Oreochromis niloticus: one gene and its partners. The protein of the gene in region 3 purifies or fractionates together with the protein of the main gene of each other region. This does not show direct contact. Links are inferred from orthologs where the notes say so. Each region holds a gene or a part of one and is shown on either strand. Other genes may lie near its edges. The genes, in order: pip4p2, ufm1 and cdk5rap3.

Evidence for each region.
Region 1: the proteins of cdk5rap3 (region 3) and pip4p2 purify together in Homo sapiens (affinity purification with mass spectrometry; 3 studies listed by BioGRID and IntAct, counting the BioPlex papers as one, with this or other methods). This does not show direct contact. The link is inferred for Oreochromis niloticus from reciprocal best matches to the Homo sapiens genes CDK5RAP3 and PIP4P2.
Region 2: the proteins of cdk5rap3 (region 3) and ufm1 purify together in Homo sapiens (co-immunoprecipitation; 3 studies listed by BioGRID and IntAct, with this or other methods). This does not show direct contact. The link is inferred for Oreochromis niloticus from reciprocal best matches to the Homo sapiens genes CDK5RAP3 and UFM1.

The regions. Positions count from the first base shown.
Region 1 is NC_031985.2:21,131,702-21,139,211, forward strand, and holds the start of pip4p2 (type 2 phosphatidylinositol 4,5-bisphosphate 4-phosphatase), read right to left. Parts: upstream 3,086-7,510; 5' UTR 2,904-3,085; coding exon 2,798-2,903; intron 1-2,797. Other genes in the region: uncharacterized protein si:ch211-57n23.1, read left to right, coding at 6,586-7,133. UniProt on the Homo sapiens protein: Catalyzes the hydrolysis of phosphatidylinositol-4,5-bisphosphate (PtdIns-4,5-P2) to phosphatidylinositol-4-phosphate (PtdIns-4-P).
Region 2 is NC_031975.2:15,565,423-15,573,229, forward strand, and holds the start of ufm1 (ubiquitin-fold modifier 1), read right to left. Parts: upstream 3,087-7,807; 5' UTR 2,988-3,086; coding exon 2,986-2,987; intron 2,886-2,985; coding exon 2,829-2,885; intron 1-2,828. UniProt on the Homo sapiens protein: Ubiquitin-like modifier which can be covalently attached via an isopeptide bond to lysine residues of substrate proteins as a monomer or a lysine-linked polymer.
Region 3 is NC_031973.2:5,428,591-5,436,377, forward strand, and holds the start of cdk5rap3 (CDK5 regulatory subunit-associated protein 3), read right to left. Parts: upstream 3,027-7,787; 5' UTR 2,867-3,026; coding exon 2,861-2,866; intron 2,572-2,860; coding exon 2,523-2,571; intron 2,370-2,522; coding exon 2,238-2,369; intron 1,650-2,237; coding exon 1,549-1,649; intron 1,443-1,548; coding exon 1,394-1,442; intron 1,387-1,393; exon of another isoform or gene 120-1,386; intron 1-119. UniProt on the Homo sapiens protein: Substrate adapter of E3 ligase complexes mediating ufmylation, the covalent attachment of the ubiquitin-like modifier UFM1 to substrate proteins, and which is involved in various processes, such as ribosome recycling and reticulophagy (also called ER-phagy).

The DNA of each region.
Region 1 (7,510 bases), on a different chromosome or scaffold from region 3:
ACTTTTTCTCTTCCACTGACCTGTGATAAAGACTCGTCATTGGTCACATTAAGTCACATGTTCTTGTAACCCACCCACTTCCACACAGTAGCTGCTCTCTCTTTGGAGGCAGTTCTTTAATGGTGGAATCAGCAAGTTAATATTTTTAACTTTGTGTTTTCATGATAAACATGACACTGAGAGTTTCTACTACTAACAAAACAAAACAAGATAACAGTGTTTTTTTAATGAGAAAGTGAAGTAACAGATTTTTCATACTAATGTAACTGAATTTATATACACTTGCCAGACACTTTATTAGGTACACCTTTCCAGGATTTTATGGGACCCCTTTTTTTTGCCTTTAGAGCTTCCTTAGTTCTTCGTGGCTTCAACAAGGCGCTTTCTCCATGGTGTAATGTCCATATTGACATGATGGCATCACACAGTTGCTGCAAATCTGTCGCCTGCACAGTGAACTCACTGTCATGTTCAAGAAACCTGTTTATGGCATTGTGTGTTATCCTGCTGGAAGCAAACATCTGAGGCTGGGTACACTGCGGTCATAAAGCGATGGATGTGGTCAGTAACCTTACCATCTAACATCAAGTCTCATCACACAAGTCAATGTTTTTCCAGTCTTCTATTGTCCATGTTTGGTGAGCTTGTGTGAACTGTAGTCTCAGTTTCCTGTTATTAGCTGACAGGAGTCTCACCTGCGATGATCTTCTGCTGCTGTCGCTCATCTGCTTCAAGGTTCAAAATGTTCTGCATTCAGAGATCCTCTTCTCCATATCTTGGTTGATTGCTTTTTTCAGTTGCTATTGACATTCTATCAGATCAGGATTTGTTCTCACTTTCTGACAAATCTCTGTAAATTGTAGAGACGGTTGTGTGGGGAAAATCTCAGTAGATGAGCAGTTTCTGAAATACTCAAACCAGCTCGTCTGACTCCAACAACAATGCCACATTCAGAGTCACTTAAACCACCCTTCTTCTCCAGTTTGATTCTCAGTTAGTCGTCTTCATGTCTACATGCATCAATGCACCGAGTTAGTGCCATGCAACTGGCTGATTAGATATTTGCATTAATGACCGGTTGAACAGGTGTACCTAATAAAGTGACCATGAGTTGCTAACAAGAAGAATCAGACCTTTCTATTTCGGTACTGTAATAGCAGGGTAACTGGATCTCTTCATATAAAGAAACCTGTTAACATATTTGCTGATGTTTCATGACTTCACCTTGGACTAATTAGTCCTGATAATGTGAAGCTGGTAAAGCTTCATTTTAAACGAGGCAGACCGTTTGTTTTTCTTTGATTATTTTAGGGCAAAATTAAAAAAAACAAGCAGCAGCCACTGAATTTCTACCTGCTACTACAGAATCATTTCAGTGAACACAACAAGTATTACATGGATATCATAAAAATTTAAATTCAAGCCACAGCTCACTTTAGTGCCTTAATGCAGCTGCTCATTAGTCAAAGCAGCGTCACAGTCATTGTGTTTCCGGGAAATGTCACAGTTTTGGCATCTTAGGATCAAATTAATCCATTTTACAAACCCACACTGGAATTAGCCAATAATCCAGTCTGCAGAGAGGGTGGAGGGAGAAACTGTGTCACTGTGTTAGCATCCAGCCAGGCTCTCGCTTCCTAGATTATTACAGTCCAGCATTAAGAGTTTAATCCCGTGGTGAAATATGAATTCTGTGGGATTAGACGTCTCGAGAACAACAAGCACTTCTCTCTCTCTTTCTCTCCTCTGTTTGTTTGAAATTGGCCTGAAATGCTCCTTAAACTGATTTACACGGTCAATGAGTCCATTCATTTGCTGCCGACCATCCCGAGCTGCTGCAAAGCAAAGAAACGTTGTTTCTGTCAGGCCGCTGACAAAAACTTAGAAGCGGAAACAGGGGAAAAAAAGTCAAATACCACTGAAAGTAGCACTCAAAATCTAATCCTCAGACAAGAGAATGTGATCTGAGGTGAAAGTAAAGCCTGAATCAATATTTAATGCCAGCAAAACACAAGGAGGGCTCTATGTGAGATCATGCATTTTTGCAGCTCCCACAAGCACTTTGCTTCGTCTTTCTTCTTGTGGAGAAGAATAAATTGAGAATTTGAGGAGATTATATTCAGAGCAAAGGTCAGTGCAGACAGCTGCTGCCAGTCCTGAGAACAAGCACTGTGGGCTGTAACTTACATGTTTATGTTTTCTGCTGTATGAAAGATGCAAATCATGCAAGAAGGCTCAAGCTCGTCGCTTACAGTGCATTCACCATGCAAACGAGCAAAACTCACAGCTGCCATCATTAAAACAGGAGAATACGACATTTAACTCGTGTTGCATTATTTCTCCCGTAAAGGGCACACCTGTGGGTGCTTTTGTTGATCTGCAGCTGGACAAAAGGATGCTTCGCCTGCCTCCATCTGCAATGCCTCAGTGCTCCCACGTCAACATTCAACCTAAAATCTACTGAGGCTTTGCAGAGCTTCAGCTCACACCTTTTTTTTTTTCTTTTTTTTTTGCTAGCCAAAGTCACGGCAGGCCCCAGTGAATCGTGATGTAGAAATCTCTGCACTGAAAACACTGTTTGATGCTACTGCTGGTATTACCGCAGGCCCCTTCTACATAACCCACTGCTCCAGTTCTCACAGTGCAAGCTCCACCTTTCAGTCAGCTGCCGACTGATTTCCCAGCAATGCCCTTGCCTCGCCTTGCTGCAGCTTTATTTACGCACTCACACAAACTCGATACGCCCTGAAAATGATTCAGCATGCAGGCGGCGGGGTGCTGCGTGTGGCGTGTTTACCTCGGGGACTTGAATCCTGCAGGTACGGGGGAGCTGTCGGGGTCACATTCTCGGAGTTGGGGCCCGACAGCAGCGGAGATCGCTCGTCCATGCCGTCGGAGGCCATGTCGTTGACCGTGATAAATGACGGGGTGGCTCCTGGCTGCACCGAGTTTTCCCTCAGCACGGAGGAGCAGCCAGAGGCTGGTTGTTGGTGCCGACTCGCTCCGGTCCAGCAGCAGCAGCAGCCCCGCTGACGGCAGCCTGGAGGGGGAGGAGCTCCGCGGTGGTCCCCGCCCCTCTAAGATATGGCCCCGGGCATGGGCAGAGTTCATGCTGGTGCACACTGAAGGAATTTTTTAATTTTTTCCTGATAAACTGCATTGATTTAAAATGCGTTGTTCCCTTTAATACCCCAAATACAGATTTATTCATATTTAAGCCTAAGAATAACAACAACATTAATGAAATCCATACGTGACGATAAAGTTTGAGAGTTTAAACGGTGGGATAAGAAAAAGCAGCAACTCACAGCTGTTGCCGCTAGATGTCACCGTGGGATTACTGAGGTCCGGGGCAGTGCAGTCAGAGCACGCTCGCACCATATTTTACTATTGTCAGGTTCACACTACGGAAGCGTAGAGCTACGGAAGCGTAGAGCTGCCACCCAGGCAAAAGAAAAATAGAAGTATATCACGTTATAACGTGAAAAGTTTATTGTTCTAACAAGATACTTTTCATGTTTGTACAATATACTTTTGACGTTTGAACAATATAATATCACGTTATTACAATATACATAAATATCACGTTCGTACAATATATTTATATTGTACGAACGTGATAATTATGCATATTGTAATAACGTGATATTATATTGTTCAAACGTCAAAAGTTTGAACAATAATTATATGCATAATTATCACGTTCGTACAATATAAATATATTGTACGAACGTGATATTTATGAATATTGTAATAACGTGATATTATGTTGTTCAAACGTCAAAAGTATATTGTACAAACATAGTATATTGTACAAACATGATAGTATATTGTACAAACATGAAAAGTATCTTGTTAGAACAATAAACTTTTCACGTTATAACGTGATATACTTCTATTTTTCTTTTGCCTGGGTGGCAGCTCTACGCTTCCGTAGCTCTACGCTTCCGTACTACGCTTCCGTATCACACAGCAAAGTCCCGCTGTGTTGTGTTTTTTATGTAGACCAGGGGTGGCAAACTCATTTTACAATATGGAGGACCACGAGTACCAAAATTAAGTAACTGTTAAGCATACCTGCCGTTTTCTGCCTGTGTAAAGATGTTTAACTGCACTTTTAATCCCATTTAATACAAGAATAAGAAGTGCAGTTATAATGGTAAGTCTCAGTACAGCATTGTACATGATAAAGGAATGCTGCTGCAGTCAATGAAAGAAATCATTACAGAAAACTAAAAAAACCTGCGGGAAAAGGTTCTGATAGCTCACTGCTCAGACTGTCCTGCAATTACAACCACAAGAGAGTCATAAAATAATAAATCATCATTTAAAAAAATGTTGGTCCTTTAGAAATGTCTTTATATTTGTCTATCTATTACTTTAGTGTAGTATGAATTGCAAAAGAAAAACTTCTGGGCATTTAATAGCCTCAGATATAACAACCCCCCAAAATAAATAAATAAACATACAAGTGATCAGGGCTTTTGCCAGAATTTTCAAAGTATTGTGACTCAGATTTCTCTTTATTTCAGAGTCAGTTTTGGACTTTGCTTTTCACTGTATTTACAACATTTGGACACAATTATACAAACATGTGAACCACACAGATGGCCTTTATAGAGCCGACTGTTCATACTATAAACAGCACTCCTTTTTCAGTTTGACTGAAAAAGATGCACTTTCTCAGTTTAAACATCTGACGACATGTTTTCCAGCATCCCAAATTTTTCAGAATTGGGATTGTAAAATTTAAGCTTTGATCTCTCTCACTGAAAAGAAAAATTAAAAGTAAATCACAATATTTTCCAGCACACATGCTCATAAAGTGAAATCTTTCCATCAAGGGAATAATAGTGTTGGTTTTTCTCTCAAATGTGCCGTTTGTTTCCAGACAATCCAAACCACGATAAAAGCTTGTAAAAATGTATATTTCTGTGTGTAGATACTTTTTTAATAAGGTCAAAGTCACATTAGATCACTTTTTGGTGACAACAATAGTATAAAGATACAAAATTACTATAAAAGTAGTCAACTCTTACAAACAGATCAAATAAATGAAGTGTTACTGAACCATGTAAACAAAGTGGAATTAATATTTTAACTTTATTCGGCTTCTTATTATTGTCATGTTATTTTTACATTTTACTAAAATACCCAGTGAATACCTTTAAAAACTTTACTTTGCGAGGCAGCAGGCAAACTTAAGCTAAACCAGTGATTTATGGCATAAACAGGACCTCATGGTGGTGTAATGCTTTTAAGTCCCACCCTTTTTATGTTTTACAATTCATCCTCAAATTTAGTGTTTGTTTTCAGAAAACTGCTCGTCATTCCCCTTAAATTGCAAAACCCTGGCTTGTTTGTGCCAAAATGTGTCCCATTCCTTGCAGCTTATGTCAGGGTGAAAGCCTCAGGCTGTGTAGATCCACTCTCTGGTCATTCAAAAAACTCGCTAAATAACTACAGATGCTCTGCATGAGTTTTGAGCTCATGGACAGTCTGGGTACTTTTTGAAACTCTTTTCTCTCCAGTAACTTCAGGGTAGCATCGTGTTCAAGTGTAACTCAGGGATGGTTTCAGAACAGCTAGTTTAAGAAGCAGATTTGGTGTTTTAATTCGAGCGTGTTGCTGTAGCTGTTTAGGATGTTGTAAATGGCTCATAAATACAGCATCGCACATCCTTCTCCCCCTGTCACTCAAATCAAAAAGTCTTCACAAAAGAAGTAAAGCACAAATGAGCATAGAAAATGAAGCTCACACAGAAGTAAATACACATCAAAGCAGGGATACGATGCAGAGAATGGCGCTCTCTCCCTCCAGCAGGGAGTTTTTACTGTAACCCACACCTCACATGCATTTTACAATCTCCCATCCCATCCCCTTCCACTGAGGAAAAATCCAAGCTCCTGATTCTGCTGTTACCGGGCCAGTAAAAGTGATTCAGATTGCATGTAACAGTCTGCAGTGAACGACTCATTTTTTCCGACGGCTGCAGGCACCAGAGGAGCGCCGCTACGCACAAACAGAGACCGCTCTGTGCTCTGTGCTCTCTCTGTAAGGTAAGACCGCTGAACAAAAGTCAACTTAAAATGAAAATTCAGATTACATCCGTAAAAAAAAAAACAAAAAAAAAACATCGCGGTGATCTGGAGTTCAGGATTTCCTTCAGTGATGCGTTTGCAGTTTTGATTTGTTGCCAACTATGACGCTACCCAAACTGAGGCAAATTTCCGGTTAAACTGCAGGAGAAAAAAACACAAATGTATGTTCTCTGGTTTTGTACAGGATTTATTTTTTGGTGTAATTTAATAAGAAATTTATTTAAGCTTATTTGCTATTGAACTTAATAAACTTCATGCTTTTATTTTGAATGTTATGTCACTGAATGCATGCAATCAAGAGGTCTCAGTGTTATTTTTCATGTTTCTATTGATCAGTAGAAATTTCTTGCCCTTCACACAGTAGTTTTCTCTTGTACATGAAGTTTAAGTATGAGAATACTTGATAATAATCATAGTGAATGGATTTTCTCTGGTGATTCCTGCGTGTCTAAGTCTTTTTCTTTTTAATGCAGTCAGTTTGGAGATGCTCCAGGGGACAGTGAGCAGGGCTTGGCTCTGCCTGTCCTTCTGCCTCCTGTTGGGGATCTGTTCTCCAGCAGAGGATGGAGGACCAGCAAGTCCTCCTCCTAGTTTCCCCCCTGAGCAAGGGTCAGGGGAGTCGGATTTCGAGGACTGGGAGTGGGGCTCTGGATCGTCTCTTCTGCACCTGCTCCACAGCTTCCCCGCTGACAGCCCCTTCACAACAGAGTCCTCAGAAAAGCCAGTCAACTGCACACAGCGCTTCTGGCTCCCTCCATCATCTCCAATCTGCTGGGAAAACATAGCAGGACCCAAAGAGTTTGCCAGGTCTCGTCTGCTTGTTCTGCAGAACAGGGCGGCCCTGCAGGCGGTGTCCACCTCCAGCGGGGTGGAGGAGGGAGGGCTGTCCTACGACCACCAAGCTAGAGAGGAGGTCCAGGGGATCCGATCAGACCACCAGAAAGTGACCGAAACTATGCAAAGCATGGAGACCGTGTTTGTCTCTCTGGCAGAGAAGAGGAAAGAGGGCAAGGAGCGGGGTGTCTTTACGAGGTAAGAAACAATAACAGTGGAGAATTCATTTATCAGCTTTGTGGGAGGAATAACCCAAGATCAGCTGGTGGGTGTAGAGGTGAATACTATTAAATAGGCTATATATATTATTAAAGTTTTAAATGAATAAAAGAACTCTGTAATTTTAGAGTGGGATCATGTCACACCCCATGAATTAAAATTTACATCCACCGAGGTCTTCAAGGTCAATTTAATGATTTATTGGTCAAAAACTGACAAAAAGCCTTATAACTTAGAAGCTATGATTCTAAGTGTGCAGTGTATTGTCAATATATAGAAAGTACTGTATAATGATTTAAAACATGTCATACTTGGCCTCTGACCTTGCCCTCAAGGTCTATGGATTGATCTGAAAG
Region 2 (7,807 bases), on a different chromosome or scaffold from region 3:
TTAATACTAGGGTTTAGCTGGGTTTCCAACCAGAATGGAAAATCTTTAATTTACATAAATTCTAATCTTGCTTTCAAACTCTGCTTTGTAATAATATAGTTAAAATATAGGGATTTCATTTGGTGCTGCTTACAAAAATGATTGTCATATAATATGATTTTAAGATGTTTTGTTTGTATATATTTTTTAAGAAGTTAGCACACATTGATTTGCTACTAATGTCAAATTAGTCCCTAAAAGGTCAACAAAAGCTCAACAATTTAAGTGCTTTGAGATAATGTGATAGCAGGAATGTTATGCCCATATACACAAAACCAGTTGACATAATCCAGTATGTAAAACCAGTATATAAAACAAAGCCATTATACCTTTTGTTAATCTAATAGGCAGGAAACAGTCAGACTTCTTTTATGTAAGGTGGCACACACTGCTTTGGTTTTATTTAGGGGTTAAAGTGAGATTCGGCAGGGGGAGGATCCTTAAGCATGGGGATAAGAATGACTTAGAATTAAGTCACATAATGATTTGTTTGTGAGCTCCAGTAGATTTTTCTTTGTGTATACACTTTGATCAAATGACCTGTGCTGCTACTCTATGCTCTGCTCTAGTTATATGGCTGATTGCTAACTCCTAGACACAAAGCTAAAGCTAACAGGTGGAAGGTAAAATCCAGCGAGTGAATCACCTTAAATATGAATTGATGTTTGCTACCCTTGATGTAACCTAGTAACAGTACTCAGCAAGCAACCAACCCAACACGTTGCATCATTCTAAATTCTACCACAATATTGCAAACTAATCAGTTTACCCTGCACTAAACTGCCTGGTATTTTATGCAACCTTTGAATAACATAAATTTAATACACTTTTTTAGTTTTGCAAGCTAGTTTTGAAAGCATTGATTCAGCAAAACATTATTTATATCTCATTTCAAAAATTATTAGAAATAAATGAGGACATTGCATGTAAGATTTAAATTTCCAGTCTATAAAATTTCACCTGCTAAGCAGTGCTTAACTTAAAAATAATGTCATTCTCCTCTCCTGACATTTATTTGTCTGTGTATCAGTCTCAAACATTTTTTTTCTCAGCTTGTGAGATAAAGCAGCTCAGAGACACGAACAGCATGGAAACAGTTTCCGTTTGTGTTGAGCTGTTTGAAATGTTACATTTGAATTTACCTGGCACTTAAAAAAAGCATTAATCTGTTTATGTAGCTAGACTGTACCACGATTGCAACTTTTTGTCTGCCCCACGAACGCATCACAGGGATGAGAAGAATGGAAAAGGATGTGTTGAGGCTGTAAGTGGGCTGTGGGAAGTCATTATTTTCTTATTACTGAGCAAGTATCTCCGTGATGACACTGGAAGCAGCACCAGACACAAAAAATTACCTCATTTACTAATAATCTGCCGAACCTGTCGAACCTCAAATTTAATTACTCATTAGATCAAGGTGCTACAAAGCTATTCAGCTCCACCTTATTCCCTGGTTTCATTCATGTGAATACATTCATAATAAGCTATTTAATAATCTATTTAAATAAGACCTGAACAAGATTTTTTCCAGTCTTTTATTGTTCATGCTACCACTTTATATTGCACTAAAAAAACCAAAAACAAACAAAGATAAAACAAATCAGCTGCAGAAATGGCAAAAATTGATTCAACTATGATTTCTGCATGAAATCCATGAAGGATTTCAGGTAATTTGTCAGAAACCTGAAGTTCAACTAGAAACGGAAATGGATCTGCTTGATACGCCCAAGTGTTGTTCAAACAGAAGAACCAGAGTATTAGAAAAAATATTGAAAACCTAGATTTGAATACTTGGTTCAAGAATACAGCTTAAAATTTGAAACTCTGTATCAAAAGCTATTGAATGTTTGCTTTTTTCAATTTCATCAAATTATCAAACTCATAACAATAATACTATAAAAAATAGATTCGCTAAACTAACTTTTTCTAGATTAAAAAAAGACTTATACTCTGAATTAGCATTCTAAGCAGAGTGTTTTTGTTAAACATGCCTGTACTTGACTATGACAAAGACTTGGATTATAAAAAGCACATTGTGCCTTTAAGCAATGCAGAGTCAAACACCACAGCCATAACAGTCTGTCTGAGGGCTTAATGTTAAAAGGTCTGATTTACATTTAGCCTTGGCCACAATGATTCCCGTTTCTGCTCGTCCTGTCCACATTCTGATGTGAATTTATCCTGCATATAGCAGGGACGTCAACGCAATTTTAAAATGTAGGGCCCCAAACAGCCAACTTTTATTCAGTTTTTATTCATTCAGATATTTTTTTAAACTACAGAGTCATTGTAAATAATGGAAAACGAGAAACTTTTCTGTCATTTAATTATTTATCTATTACTTAACTACTTTGATGTAGTACGAATGGCGGATATTAATAGGAAAAGCTGTAAAACTTGTAGAAATACAGTTAAAAGTTTAAAATTAATTTAATAATACTTTTATGACTCTGGCTGTTTGTCAGGATTCACATATATTATACAAATTACTTTAATGAGTGCCATTCCCATTGATCACGACCTAAAGATAGTCAGTTTCATTCATAACAGACTTCATAAAATGCTGTGAAGCCACACTACAGAAAACGGAAGCCGACTGTGATTACAGTGTCAGCATCGGCACTAGCAGATGTTCACTCATTCCCCACGTTTTTACGTTGCTTAGTAAAAAACTACAAACACAAAATATCTGCAGTAGCCGTGAAATGTTAACTAAACGTTAAATAAAGTCGAAAATGTAGCTGGCTGAGAAATTAAAGCGGTGACTGCTGAGCTGTCAGTATACTCACACTTTGTATGGTAGCCGGGGGTCCGACGTCAGGGTGATTTTAAACGTTACTTTAGACCTAATGAAGAACACACCATTACAGTTGTTAACAGACGGATACACGTGAATGAATATAAAATATGTCCATGTCAAAATTTCACGAAAGTCCAAAAACTCACATCTTTATGGGCGAGGCGACTCCGCTTGATATCTGTTTATACAAACCCGGAAGTCAGAAGGACCCTCACGTACACGTCATCCATCTGGTGCCAATTTTGAGAAGTAAATGTATCTATTTTAAAGTTTAATAGTTAGCTAAGATTTTTTTTATAAATGACTAAATTTTTTCAGTTAAATTGTGCATTATTATTCAAACATAATCCATTGTATGTCCTATTAATGGACAGGCATTCATAGCAAATAGCTAACCATTACCGTAAAGGTTATAAACAAGACGCAGTTACTTCTGTGAGGCGCACTGACATCTTTCAGCACTGTTATTCAACTCAATCCAGGTTCTTGACGTTAAACAAACATAACCCTCATTCAGATTGGAAATTTGCTGCTTGACATGATGTTGTTGGGAAGAATGTAAGAATTAAAAAGAAAATGATTAAATCCAGTGCTTCTTTTGGTGAAAAGAAGCATCACCTTTAATTTTAATTAGTTTGTTTCATGCATAGAATTTAACATTTACAGAAATCTGAGATTTTTCATACTTTGCACACCTTTAGGTATCCCACTGTGCTTTGGGGATTTTCTCCCCCTAATTTTAACAATGTGATATAGCTTTTGGTGGATTAAAAAAAAGCTTTCCAAACTATGAACAGTCTGTACCAGTAAGAACTACCGTCTCCCTCAGAAAACACTGTTGCACCACTGTCATAATGCCCGCCTAGTGGTTAGTTTGGCAGAGCCTCAAACAAAGAAAACAGCTTCATGTCCTGATGAAGCCAGCTGCCAGAAAACCAGAGCTGCTTTCACTAAATCTGTCTCTAAAGAGTAAAAGCTATGAGCAAAGCAGAGGAACTGTTTGGCTGTAAGAGTGAATCTAAGAGTCTTCATGTACTCCAGCAGAACCTCTGGATTGCTTTTATTTTTGATGAAAATGGCCCCACTACAATGGCAAAATCTCAATACATGTTTGATGTTAGAACCACTAACAAACTGTATGGTAAATGTGGCTAACAACTACCTTATTTCCTACTTCTTGTGCTCCAGCATACTTTATACTTTGGAATTTTGTGACATTAAAATACAGCCCGATAATACTTTGGAATTTTATTCCCAATAATATAACAGTTTCTATTGTCAAATAACATACACATATAAAATAGTAACACATATCACTTTAAGATTAATGTAAACCAGCCTTCATCTTAAGCCATTTTCTGACCTGTTGCTCTGAATTAGTAAAGTTCCTAATGAGTCTAACAAAAATAAATCCACATTCACATCCAAACTGAAGGCAAAGACTACAATTAAAGCTGATTTTACATGCAAAATATGCTAAAAGAAAGGTAGAAGTGACTTAACGTGTCTTCAGTGTGGTTAAAGAAAAAATTGGTTGTTAGCTATAAATAACATTTTCTTTTCTTTTCTTTTCTTTTCTTTTCTTAGCCTCTTTCCTGGCACTTCTGGTACAGTAGTAAGAAAAAGTAGGTGATACACTGTAGGCAGTGAAATGACAACCAGCATAAAAGATGGCAACAGACTCGATGACTCAGAGTTCCAGTGCAGACACTCAGGCAAACACCTCTGGGATTCAGTGACGAGTTTTTCACAGGAAAATGTAGAAAAAAGAAGAAGTTTACTAAAAAAAAAAAAATCACAAAGGATTAAAACTTTCATAGTAATGTATCATGGAATATAGAGGAATGTTCCATGTGAGGAAATGAGAAACAGCACAAGGATGCCTGAAAAGGAAAACCCCACATAAAGCACGAGTTGCCAAAATAGCTTCAGAGCTCCTTGGCATTGATTTTTACAAGTCTATGCTGGAGGGAAAAACAATTCTTCCAAATGATCTTCTTTAACTTGGTGTCTTCATAATGACGGTGCAGAGCTGTGCCTAATATGTTAATCTTCCATCTCCCATAGGCGTGTAAGTTGGTTGAGATCCAGTGACTGTGAAGAACACAGACTATAATTCTGTGTTTTTCAAACAATTCACTGACCACTTGTGATGGTGGCATTGTCATTGTGGAAGCGACCACTACTATCACCACTAAAGTATGTCATCATAGAATAGAAATGGACACTCAGAACAACTCTGTATTGATTTGCAGTGAACCTTCCCTCAATGAGGCCAAAGATGATTATACAATAAGAGCAAAATGGCACTCAGAGCATACTGGTCACTTAATTCGTCCCACTGTATGGATCAAAGGTTCAAGTTTTTTTTGCAGAATCTTTTGTGCAGGACATTTGTACTGATGACGTATAATGAATATACACTGAATGCAGTTTTCAGTAATTGACAGCCCAAAAAAACAGAGACAGAGACTTAATTCAGCATATTCGGGGCAGTTTTAATGAACTAGTCAGATTGAAGTTCCTGTCTTGAGCTCATTCTCTTTGATCATAAATAGAAATGTATAATGAATGAGTTCCATACAGAAAGACACATTTCATGGAGTGCCTCTGTCAATGTGGCAAAGAGGAAATATTTGCTTTGAAGAACATGACAGTTGCCCATCATCTTCTTCTTGCAGAAAGTCTGAGGGTGTGTTCAAAATGCATAACCCAGCAATAGGATTAGTGCATTGTGTAGCTTCCACTGAAAGAGCATAAAAAAGGCAAACCTCATGGACAGAGGGAGAAAATGCCAGCATTACCAGCAGAAATATAACAATTAACTACATTAATACTCCTCCTTATGCGTGTAAACATATGCCCAAATCTATGTGCCTAATGCACATTCCTGTATGCACGCAACAGATATTAGTTTAGTTCCAAAAGGTCACTTCTGAACAGTTTGTATAAATTTTCATTGGATTGGCAGAAATATTGACATAATTGGACATCTCCAGGAAAAGGGCATAGACATCACGGTGAAATAAAGCAACACGAGTAATGGTAATGCAGCGTGTAAATGAAATAGTGTCTATAGTTGCTGCTGAAGAACTCTGGCTCACACAGCTATCTATTTATATATAGGAAATTCTGCTGTGCACAGTACTCTTCAACACCCACTAAGTAAAGCTCCAAAGTGTTTGATTGTTGTGTGCTATGCCTGTTTCAGCAGTGTTATGCTTTTCTGTGTTGTGTTTCTACTCGCTGCACAATGCCAGTGCAGCAGCTAAACACGAAACATCAGATATTTTGATCTGATCAGAAAGGCTCATGTTTTATTTTATTATTCTTTTTACCTCACTCACTGTTGATTTTACCAGAAAAACTGGAGATTTATCTTTTATCTGTTTTTTTGTATTAATTTTTTTTAAATGAGCAAAGCCTAGGCTGAACATGACAAAGGGTCATCAGTTCAGGAGGGTAACATATCAGTTAAGATTTGTGGTGCACAAATATCTAAAACTAATAGAAAAGAAAACAAAGCCAGTCCAAACAGGATAAAAAAGTAATACAATTCTCATTTCCTGTTAATCACTGACAGGCTCAGTGGGTCTTGGCAAAAAACAAACACCTAAACTCATTCTAGGTTATTGAAATAAATAGAAAATACCCCACCTTCAAACATGAAGAACTCATAGATGATCCACTTCACCCCACCTCTCTTTCATTCTGCCTGTGTGGCAGTTTCTTCTCTGCAGGCACTGGAGAGGCGGTGTGGTTTGTTTCCTGTAAGGCAACACTGGCAACACCTGAGCCCAGTGTGCCAGTGGTCTATGAAAGGCATTACTTGTTTGTGACTGTGCACGTTGTGGTTAATTTAAGTTGTTTCTTTGTTTCTTTGATTTAAAATAGGGAGTTTTTAACTGGGATTTATGTGCATCTCCCTTTTTGTCATGGCTGTGCAGCTTAATTCATAGGTTCATTGTATTTCTGCTTTGTATTAGGTAACCTGTAGTTGCTCACTGTGTCATTTGCAGCAGTGTCTAATCATGTTAGTATCTCAGTGGGATATTGGAAATTCAAAGAAATGAATACAGATATAAAGTATAATCCAAATTAAAAAAAATTCTGGTAAAGTAACTTTTAAGGAGCACTTGTTGCAGAAGACATGGCTCCAGTCTCAACAGTTTAAGCACAGTAGATCTAAACTTTAAGGACACTGAAAGCTTCCTCTCTGGTCCTAATGCTGTTCAACATATCTGAAGTGTCTCCATTAACAATTTTTTACAGTGTTAAAAAATAACATTTTGCACAGATGTTAGCTAAAAGAATTTAGCCCATATTATTATTCTGATGTTCTGAAAGGCTTGCTGAAGTTTACTTCATCTCCTCACAGTTGTCTTAACGCAGTGTTCTCTTCCCCCTTCATTCTTCATGTATTTGTATTAACTGCTTGACTCTGCACTAAAACAAGTATCCTCTGATAACATCCTGCCTAACAACACCTTTTTATGCCAGGATGGAAAATTCATGATCATTTTCGGCGCTGTTACATGGTCACACGTCGATAAGATTGCCCCTCATGTGAAAAGCAATAATGAATAATTATATGTGACAGCTACGGCGACTATACCTCAGGGGACAGCCCCAATGTCATTCTTTTAATGTTTACTTACTTTGCATAATCCCCAGCATACTGAGTCGTAATTAAATTTGAGCTGGGGAATAATTTGCCTGTGCTGTGTTAACATGGGAGAGGGCATGATAAGCAAAGCACCAAAGCAGCTTTCCTGATATATATTCGGATGTTTCTCAAGAGAACACTGTACAGTGACATACATGACACCCTGTTTGTATAGAGTGCAGAACACTGATGTGACACCCTGCCCCAGCCTCTAACCACTATTAATGTTATTGATAGATCTATTTAACCTTGCTGTCGTAAATGCATTCCCCAGATCCTTTTTAGGAGACAAGACATTATCC
Region 3 (7,787 bases):
ATAATCACCAAGAAAAATATAAGTACATGGTGCTGTTGAAGAATATTGTCCAAATATATAATTGTTTTTCTGAACACTATGTCATGGTGCTAAATCTGAAACACGTTCCATATTTCCAGGTACTAGCTCCAACCAGCACGAAGCCATTTATCGTTAAACTTGCATCTTTACATCTTGTACCCCGGAAGTTCTCAGTGTTCTGATGCTGGAGCAGAATCAAGGACATGACTGAAGCCCAAGTGGAACCAATACTAACATTTGGCAACATGAACCACCTTCCTCTGAGGAGATGTCAGTTTTAGCTGCTAATTTAAAGTTTTCTAACCATAGTGAAGTGACTTCTATACTCCTCTACATTAGCTGTATTTGATATGCACATGTTAGACTTTGTACATCCACAAGGCCCTACTTGGGAAATGTGATAATTAGAGGGCGTACATAGAGCTCTAAAATTTACTGTGACATGCAAACGTCACAAAGAAGTTCTCTTGGACTTGCTTTGTGCTGCTATATCAGCAATCTTTATATGGAAAGTTTTACATTTTAGTCCACAACACTGGATGATTAAACTGTTTTTCTGTTAAGGCAGCAGAGTTGTGAAATTTCTAACCACAGAACATCAGAAAACGTGGCTGAAAGAGTCGCAGTTCTGCAGACAGCAAGCTGTGTGAAAATGAACTTTGGTTAACATGGTTTAAATTTATTTGCACTAAAGAATGCTTTTATATTTACTGACTCGGTTCATCTGTCTAAAAACTACAGATGAAAATGAGCTTTCGGGTCTTGTTTATTGTCTCTGCAAAATAAACAAGCTAATTAAATAAATATAGACAATATGACATAAACTGAAAACAAACAGTCTCATAGGCACTTTGTGTAAACAAGTAGACTGGTCTGCTTTGCCTTCTCCACCAGTGTGTTGAAAGGCCAACATCCAATTAGGCCTAAACCAATTTCCTGCCTGGGCCCAAGTACAGGGGTCCTTATATTTAAGACATTCTTTTAGGCACAAGCTACAATAATTAGGTTAACCAGTATACATTATCTCATTACTAATTGGTTTTACGCATGTTAAACAGCATGAAAGTCTTAGCTGAACTACAAAGAATTAACACATATTTGTACACAGTCACATTTCATGACCTAAATGGGACAAAAATAGCAGCACTGAGAGATGGAAATTTGCACATTAACAAGACCAAAAACACTTAAAACTCATCCATACTGTCAGTAAATATGTATTAAAAATATTTTAAGATTTATTTTTAAAGGAGCCAGAGACACCCTGTATAAAATACAGAGCAAAAACACACGTAGCTGCGTTCACAGGTGTTTTTATACTATAAAGAAGACATTGTGATATGTCTTTCCCTTATTTTCCTAACACACTTACCCAAATAGACATTATCTGCTTCATAAAGAGACACAATCTCCTGCCAGTCCTGTGAAAACAAAACAACAAGGGAGAAGGTTTTACAGCAGAAATCCCAAATAAAAAAAATCCCCTTAACATGTGACACTGACAGGCCAGTGTATGAATCCTCTCACCTTCATCCTCTGTGACGAGTATCTGCCAAAGATGTTCTTGGAGGAAGCCTCAGTTCCCTTCAGGATCTCCACGATCCTCAAGCAGTGAAAGTAGTGAATGTCTGTCAGTGAAAACAAACAAAGCACAGATATGGATGAAGATTTAAAAGCAGTGCATATTAACAGCTGCTTAAAATACAATAAACACCAAAGCCATGCTCCTCTGCAACCCCTGCTGGTGTTGCAGTAGCAGTGCAAGAGTCTTTGGGAGTTGCCTGAGGTTAACTGCTAGTTGTCCACAAGTTGTGCAAAAGCATGCCTGAGGTTGGTTTGGGAGTGACAGCACTTATTGCTAAACCTTGTCATGCTCTCCTGAATGCCATTATTAGCTTAGATTGGACAGTATTTTAAAATAAAACCATTAAAAAAACTCCAGTGTTAGTCTCCACTTTGTTGCAGTCATTAGCAGGGTTGTAACACCACCTTAAAATAAGAATAATGATAACAAGAAAAAAACATTAATAAAGTTGTGAAGTGGGGTTTAAGCCTTCATTGATGATTATAAAGTAACCCTAAACCTATGTCTGGTTGGAAAGGAGAGTCCCTGAGAATAGTAGAAATGGTGCTAAATAGCCTGCTGGGTCCATAATAGATTCATCTCTCAGAGAAGTCGATGGCTGGGTGGGTGTATTGAGTTGTAGGGGACCTACATGAGCCGGAGAGGAGCGCCTTGATCTCCTCGTTCTCCGGCATGTCCTGGATGGCAGCATTGATCTTCTCCCTGATCACCTTCACTGCACTTTGCCATTTCAGGTTACAGTGCCTCCGATCCACCAGCCAGTCTGCAACCACACAGAGCGAGTTTACATCTGTAACATCTGTTTCAGCCAGCATGCTAGAGGACTACAGGGCTGTATTAGCTGCTAGTAGCCCAGCTACAGAGGAACACATAGAGAAACTAGTGCTTGCTTTAAATGTGCGTGTTTTTGTCTTACCTAAAAGTTTGCTGGTCTGTATGTCGATGGGAAGGTTCTGAATGTTCCGCTGCAGTGAGACAGTTAATACATTTTGTTATTTACACCTTTTACTTCCTCTTTACCTCTCTTATTTAACTTACGGAAAGGACAATATCACATTAAACCGTTAGGAAGACATTGTGAATAAATATCTTAAAAAATGTCATAGGACAGATTGTTTTCTCTGCTAACTTAAACTCAGTGTAAAGTGTTCATTTCTCTGTCACTTAAGTGGACTTTTGACTGTCAGATAGCTAGCGTTAGCTCGCAGGCTAGTTTTTAAAGCCAGCTCAGATAAAAACTAAGTTTAATCTCACCTCCATAATTTCCCTTTCTTTTTAAAAACGTTTCCGATAATTCAGAGCTTCATTATACGATTATATTCCGGTTTATATGCAGGATTATCATCACCATCCGGAGCTTTCCTGTTTATGACACGTTAGGAGAAGCAGAGCCAATAGGAAGAGGGGATGTTGGCATGTCGATGGCTGCATTTGGATTGGTGAATCGTCGTGGCCCCTGATTGGTGCAACTAATGAGACTGTCGCTAGAGGGCGATAGTGTCACTTTACTTAAGGTCAGTTATTCCCAAACTAAGAGTAGCCCATGGAAAATGTGGAAGAATACTTGGAAAATGTTAGCTATTTCTTGTTATGGGTCAGTCATTTGTTTTTAAAAAGGTCTGATGATATTTCTTGCACAGTTAAATAAACATAAATGTAGTTTCCCCTCAGAAAAGGAAATCTACATCTATCTATCTATCTAGACAGTTATTACCTGTAAGCCTGTTAAAATAAAAACATTTGACATAGTTGTGACAAATGTGCTCTAATTTCTTTAAACATGTATTTAAATGATTCTGGTTATGTGTCTACATCTCATTTATATCTCTCTTTATTTGTTTATTTCATGCTTTCCTATATACATATTTCTCTATTATCCAAGCACACTATTGTAAGTATGCTATTTCTTTGCACTTAATGCTTTGCATGTTTAAATTCATGTACAAAATTGAGGGGAAAAGAATCAGAACACTAATCCAAAGTTTTATATCCATAAATAGGAAATTTTGAATTCTAAACTTAATTTTATTGTTTAAAAAACTAAAAAAATGAAATTTGTTGAAATGAGATGATGAAATGATGAGAAATGGACTAGTGGAACAAGAAGCTCAGACGTGGACAAGGGATGAGAACACGGTGCTGTTGGAATGCTACTATGCAATTAACCCCAACAGAAAGGGTTACGTAGCTCAGTGTTCCAGCATGCGGAAGAAGCAACTGCTATCACAACTGGAGATTGATGAAGTACAACACAAATGCTACAGCAAGGGGGGGCCAGGATGTCAGGTCAAGGGGGAGATATCATCACCCCCACCCGAGATTGGGTACCAAGTACAACTGGTGTGTTGAAGGCATTGAGCGAGGCCTCAGTGGCTAGTAGATCTAAGACCACAGCAACCTTCCTGAACAGGGTTTAGTACCATTACAGTGGCAGACATCCAAGAAACGGTCTCCAGTATGAAGAGTTGGATAGCACCAGGCCCCAACATGATTCACTCCTACTAGCTGAAGACACTAACTGCACAAAGGAACCAACTGCAAATAAAAGAGGCACACCCAGCATGACTAACCGAAGACTGGGCCGTCCAGATCCCAGAGGATCCCCAGAAGGGACCAGCCCCATCCAACTATTGGCCAATAACCTGCCTCAGTACCACATGGAAGCTCTTGTCGGGCATTATAACGGCTAAGATCAACAGGCATGTGGCTCAATACATGAGCGGGGTACAGAAAGGAACTGGCAGAAACACCATAGGGGCAAAACATCATACTGGTAGACAGAGGAGAAAAATAACATTAATTAATTAATTAAATATCAATTAACCCTACATTTTATGTTCATCTGTTATATTTTATACATTTGATGAGACATCATTATTAATATTTATTTATTTATGTTTGATTTTGGCCATTCAGTGATTAATAACGAAACATTAAACTTTGTTATGTAAATTATTTAAAAAAACATTTATTTACTAAAAACTTTTTTAAAAAGTTAAATGTGTCATTACAGTTTTATTTTGTTCATTACGTCACATAATCTTAAATCTGAGCAAACAGAGACTGACACAGTGTATTCTTGTTATTGAAAAAAGGGATATGGGTGAAAAACAACAGCAATAATTCAACAATTTGGCTTCTTGTGAACTCCAGACTGGACAAACATGAAAACACAAGCGTTAAATCCCTGCAGCAACAGAGTCTCTGTAGTGGCCTAATTTCAGTTCATTTGAATGGTGACCAAACTTGCAAATTAAGCGTCTATTCACTGTCTGTGATTTTAAACAAGCCATGCAAAGCAGCTCGATTGCTCTCGTTCTCTCCCTCCAGCTTAAAGCCATCACAAAGACTTATGTAAGAGAAAATGCTCAGTGAAAGGTGACTTTATTCTGACTCCAAAGTCCACATTAAAACAATACTTGGATTTAAAGTGAGACTGATAACGGGGGTTTTATTTACAGTTTGGAAAGCCGCTCACCTCTCAGGTTCACATTAGCCCTGATGTCAGAGATCTTGATATGGGACTGAGCTGAAAATCACATGGCTGCAACATTTCCTCAGTCATGCACTCAGCTGGGCGGGCTCTAGGTGTGTGTGTATGTGTGTGTTTGAGGAGGGTGTGTGCTAAAGAGGAGTGCAGAGGGACAAGGTAAGAGGGAGAGGCAGAGGGAGAGAGATGCTGCACCTGTGCACGCTCACCTGAGGAGAGGAAAAAGAATCAACTGAAAAACAAAGAGCGGAGACAGAAAGTTTGTAAGCATGCCGAGACAGTGTCGCATGTGAGAGAGTCCCCTTTCAGCCAGCACACTGTGAACAAGGTAAGAGAACGAGCGCACCTGAAAGCCTCCGATGAACTGCACTGGAAACTAGACTTTTATCTGTGCAAGAAATACACATTTAACTCTAATTACAAAAATCAACATGCTACTTCCATCTTTTTCGCTGGTATTTCCACAGCTCAACAACCCTGATCAACATATTAGAACTGCAGTACTGTATTTGTATAGCCAAACAACAGCTAAAGTCAAATTTCCAAGTGAAAATGTCAAAAGTTTTTTGTTTCTAGCTCCTTAAGTTGGAGAATTGACTTTATTTTTTCACAGTATGTGGATGCAAACTGGATATTTTTTAGTTTTTCAGGGACAAAAACAATAAATATGGAGACATTAGCTTGGGTAACTTGAGGTGAGTGCTGTGTTTTAACAGTCAAATTATGGCTGAAGTAAAATCTCCTGGAAAAGAGGTCTGACATTCGATGATTTCAGCCTCTAAAAAGTGAGAACTTGGGATTTTTACTCATCTTATATTAAACAAATGCACAGTTTGAGAGCTTTTGATTTACAGAAGAAAACATTTGAAGAAATCAGCTTGAGATGGACAAAACTGTGACACATTTTGACCTTTGCCGCTGTTTTAAAGACAGTTAATTGAATAATTAAAAAGGGTAGAAGCCTGAAGGAGACACTAATGCATTGTCTGACATCAGAAAGTATTAGGAGGCCAACAGGGTTACTATGCATGCTAAATAACATAGTGCAGATATGTTTTAACATGATTTTATTTGTCATGTTTGAGCTGGTTAGAATAACACTAAGTCATAAAAGAGTTACAGTCACAAATTAACCTTTTTGGACTTTGCACCTGTGTGAAGTTTACAATTTAATCAGTCTGTGGATTTTTGTGACCTTTGAGAAGGCAGGAAGACCTCTGGAACAAATGACTAAAAGACATTTTTATTAATGGAAATAATCAGACGAGCTAAAAAACTTTGCTGCTAGGGGTCAACAGCAAGTCTGGTACAAGGAATGAAACCCGAGAATCTAGTGAACCTTCAGTTTAAGTTACAAAGGCAGCAAAGCCCTCGGTGCCCTTGGAGGCTCCTCTCTGTCTTTCTGCGTCTCAAACGTTATTCTTTTCAAAGACTTTGCAGGTTGTTAGTGATTTCCGATTGTGCGCCACAGTTCCTGCTGTGATCTCTGAGGCTTTGCTTGGGCGGCTCACCCACACATAACAGAATACATGGTAACTTATTAAAATGGAGGGCCTCCTTTGTGTCAACAGGAGTTTTTGTCTCAAAGGTCACATCTAAGTCAAACACAGCATTCTTTTGGAAATATGTGTGCATATTGACAAGCTCTCTTACTTAACATGGTGTGAAAGTGCCGAGAAGGTATTTTGTCTTGTAGAAACCGTTTTGATGGAGAGTCAACAAAATTATGCAAATGCTCTGTAAATGTTTGCTATGAAGAAACCTGTCCTTTTTGTGTAGGAATAAACAAACAGATGATGAAACAGAGAGAAAAAAAATGCTAAAATCTAAGGAATGTGACATAAAAGAAGCTGTGGAAACACAAGTAAACACTTTGAAGTGTTTCAGTCACTTGTAAAAGTTCTTCTTGGTGAGCAACTATTACCCTAGTGTCTGTGAAAACCACAAACCCAGGTTATTAAGCAAAGAGCAAGACCGGGTCCAGAGGAATAAATGTAAAAGGTGCCTGCATTGCTGTTTCCAAAACTTTAAATCAAAGAACCTTTGCACTCTTCGTTCGTGCCAGGTGCCAAACATCACATGGGTCAGATAAGAGTAGGATGAGTGTTTCTGCAAAGGGCATGGACTCTTTATTTGCATAGGTGCTACATGATAAAATAACCACACCAAAGGGCCTGGCTTCCTGTCAGCCCTCATAAAAGAGAGCGATATGGTTGTGTTTGTGAAAGTCATAAAATTTGGTTTATGAGCCACGCTTTTATCTAAACACTTTTTAAAGTTTCATCCAAAGCTTCAAGTTTAAATTTTAAATATTGCAGAGAGAGGTGGGGTTAATCTAAACTACTTAATACGCTCCCTGAACAAGATCATACAATTTATGTGTCTATCGCACGTTTATGTTTTCATTGAATCTATCTGGTCCCCGCTTTGGTAAAGTAACTCAACAAAATTCCTCTAAATTCTGGTAAAACTAAATTAAAAAGACCTCAGAGCTGGACTTACCATAATAGTCTCACTGATTGTGCTTACAGCTACAGTAAAAATGCTATTTTGTGGTTTTGAGGACATGATGCACTGTTGTAAACGTGAAACTTACAAAATTCAGTTTAAAATATGTAATTTCTGACTTTTTGTATTTTGGCAGTTCTACTTGGAAATAAACCATCAGAACAGTTGCAGGTTAGCTTTCTG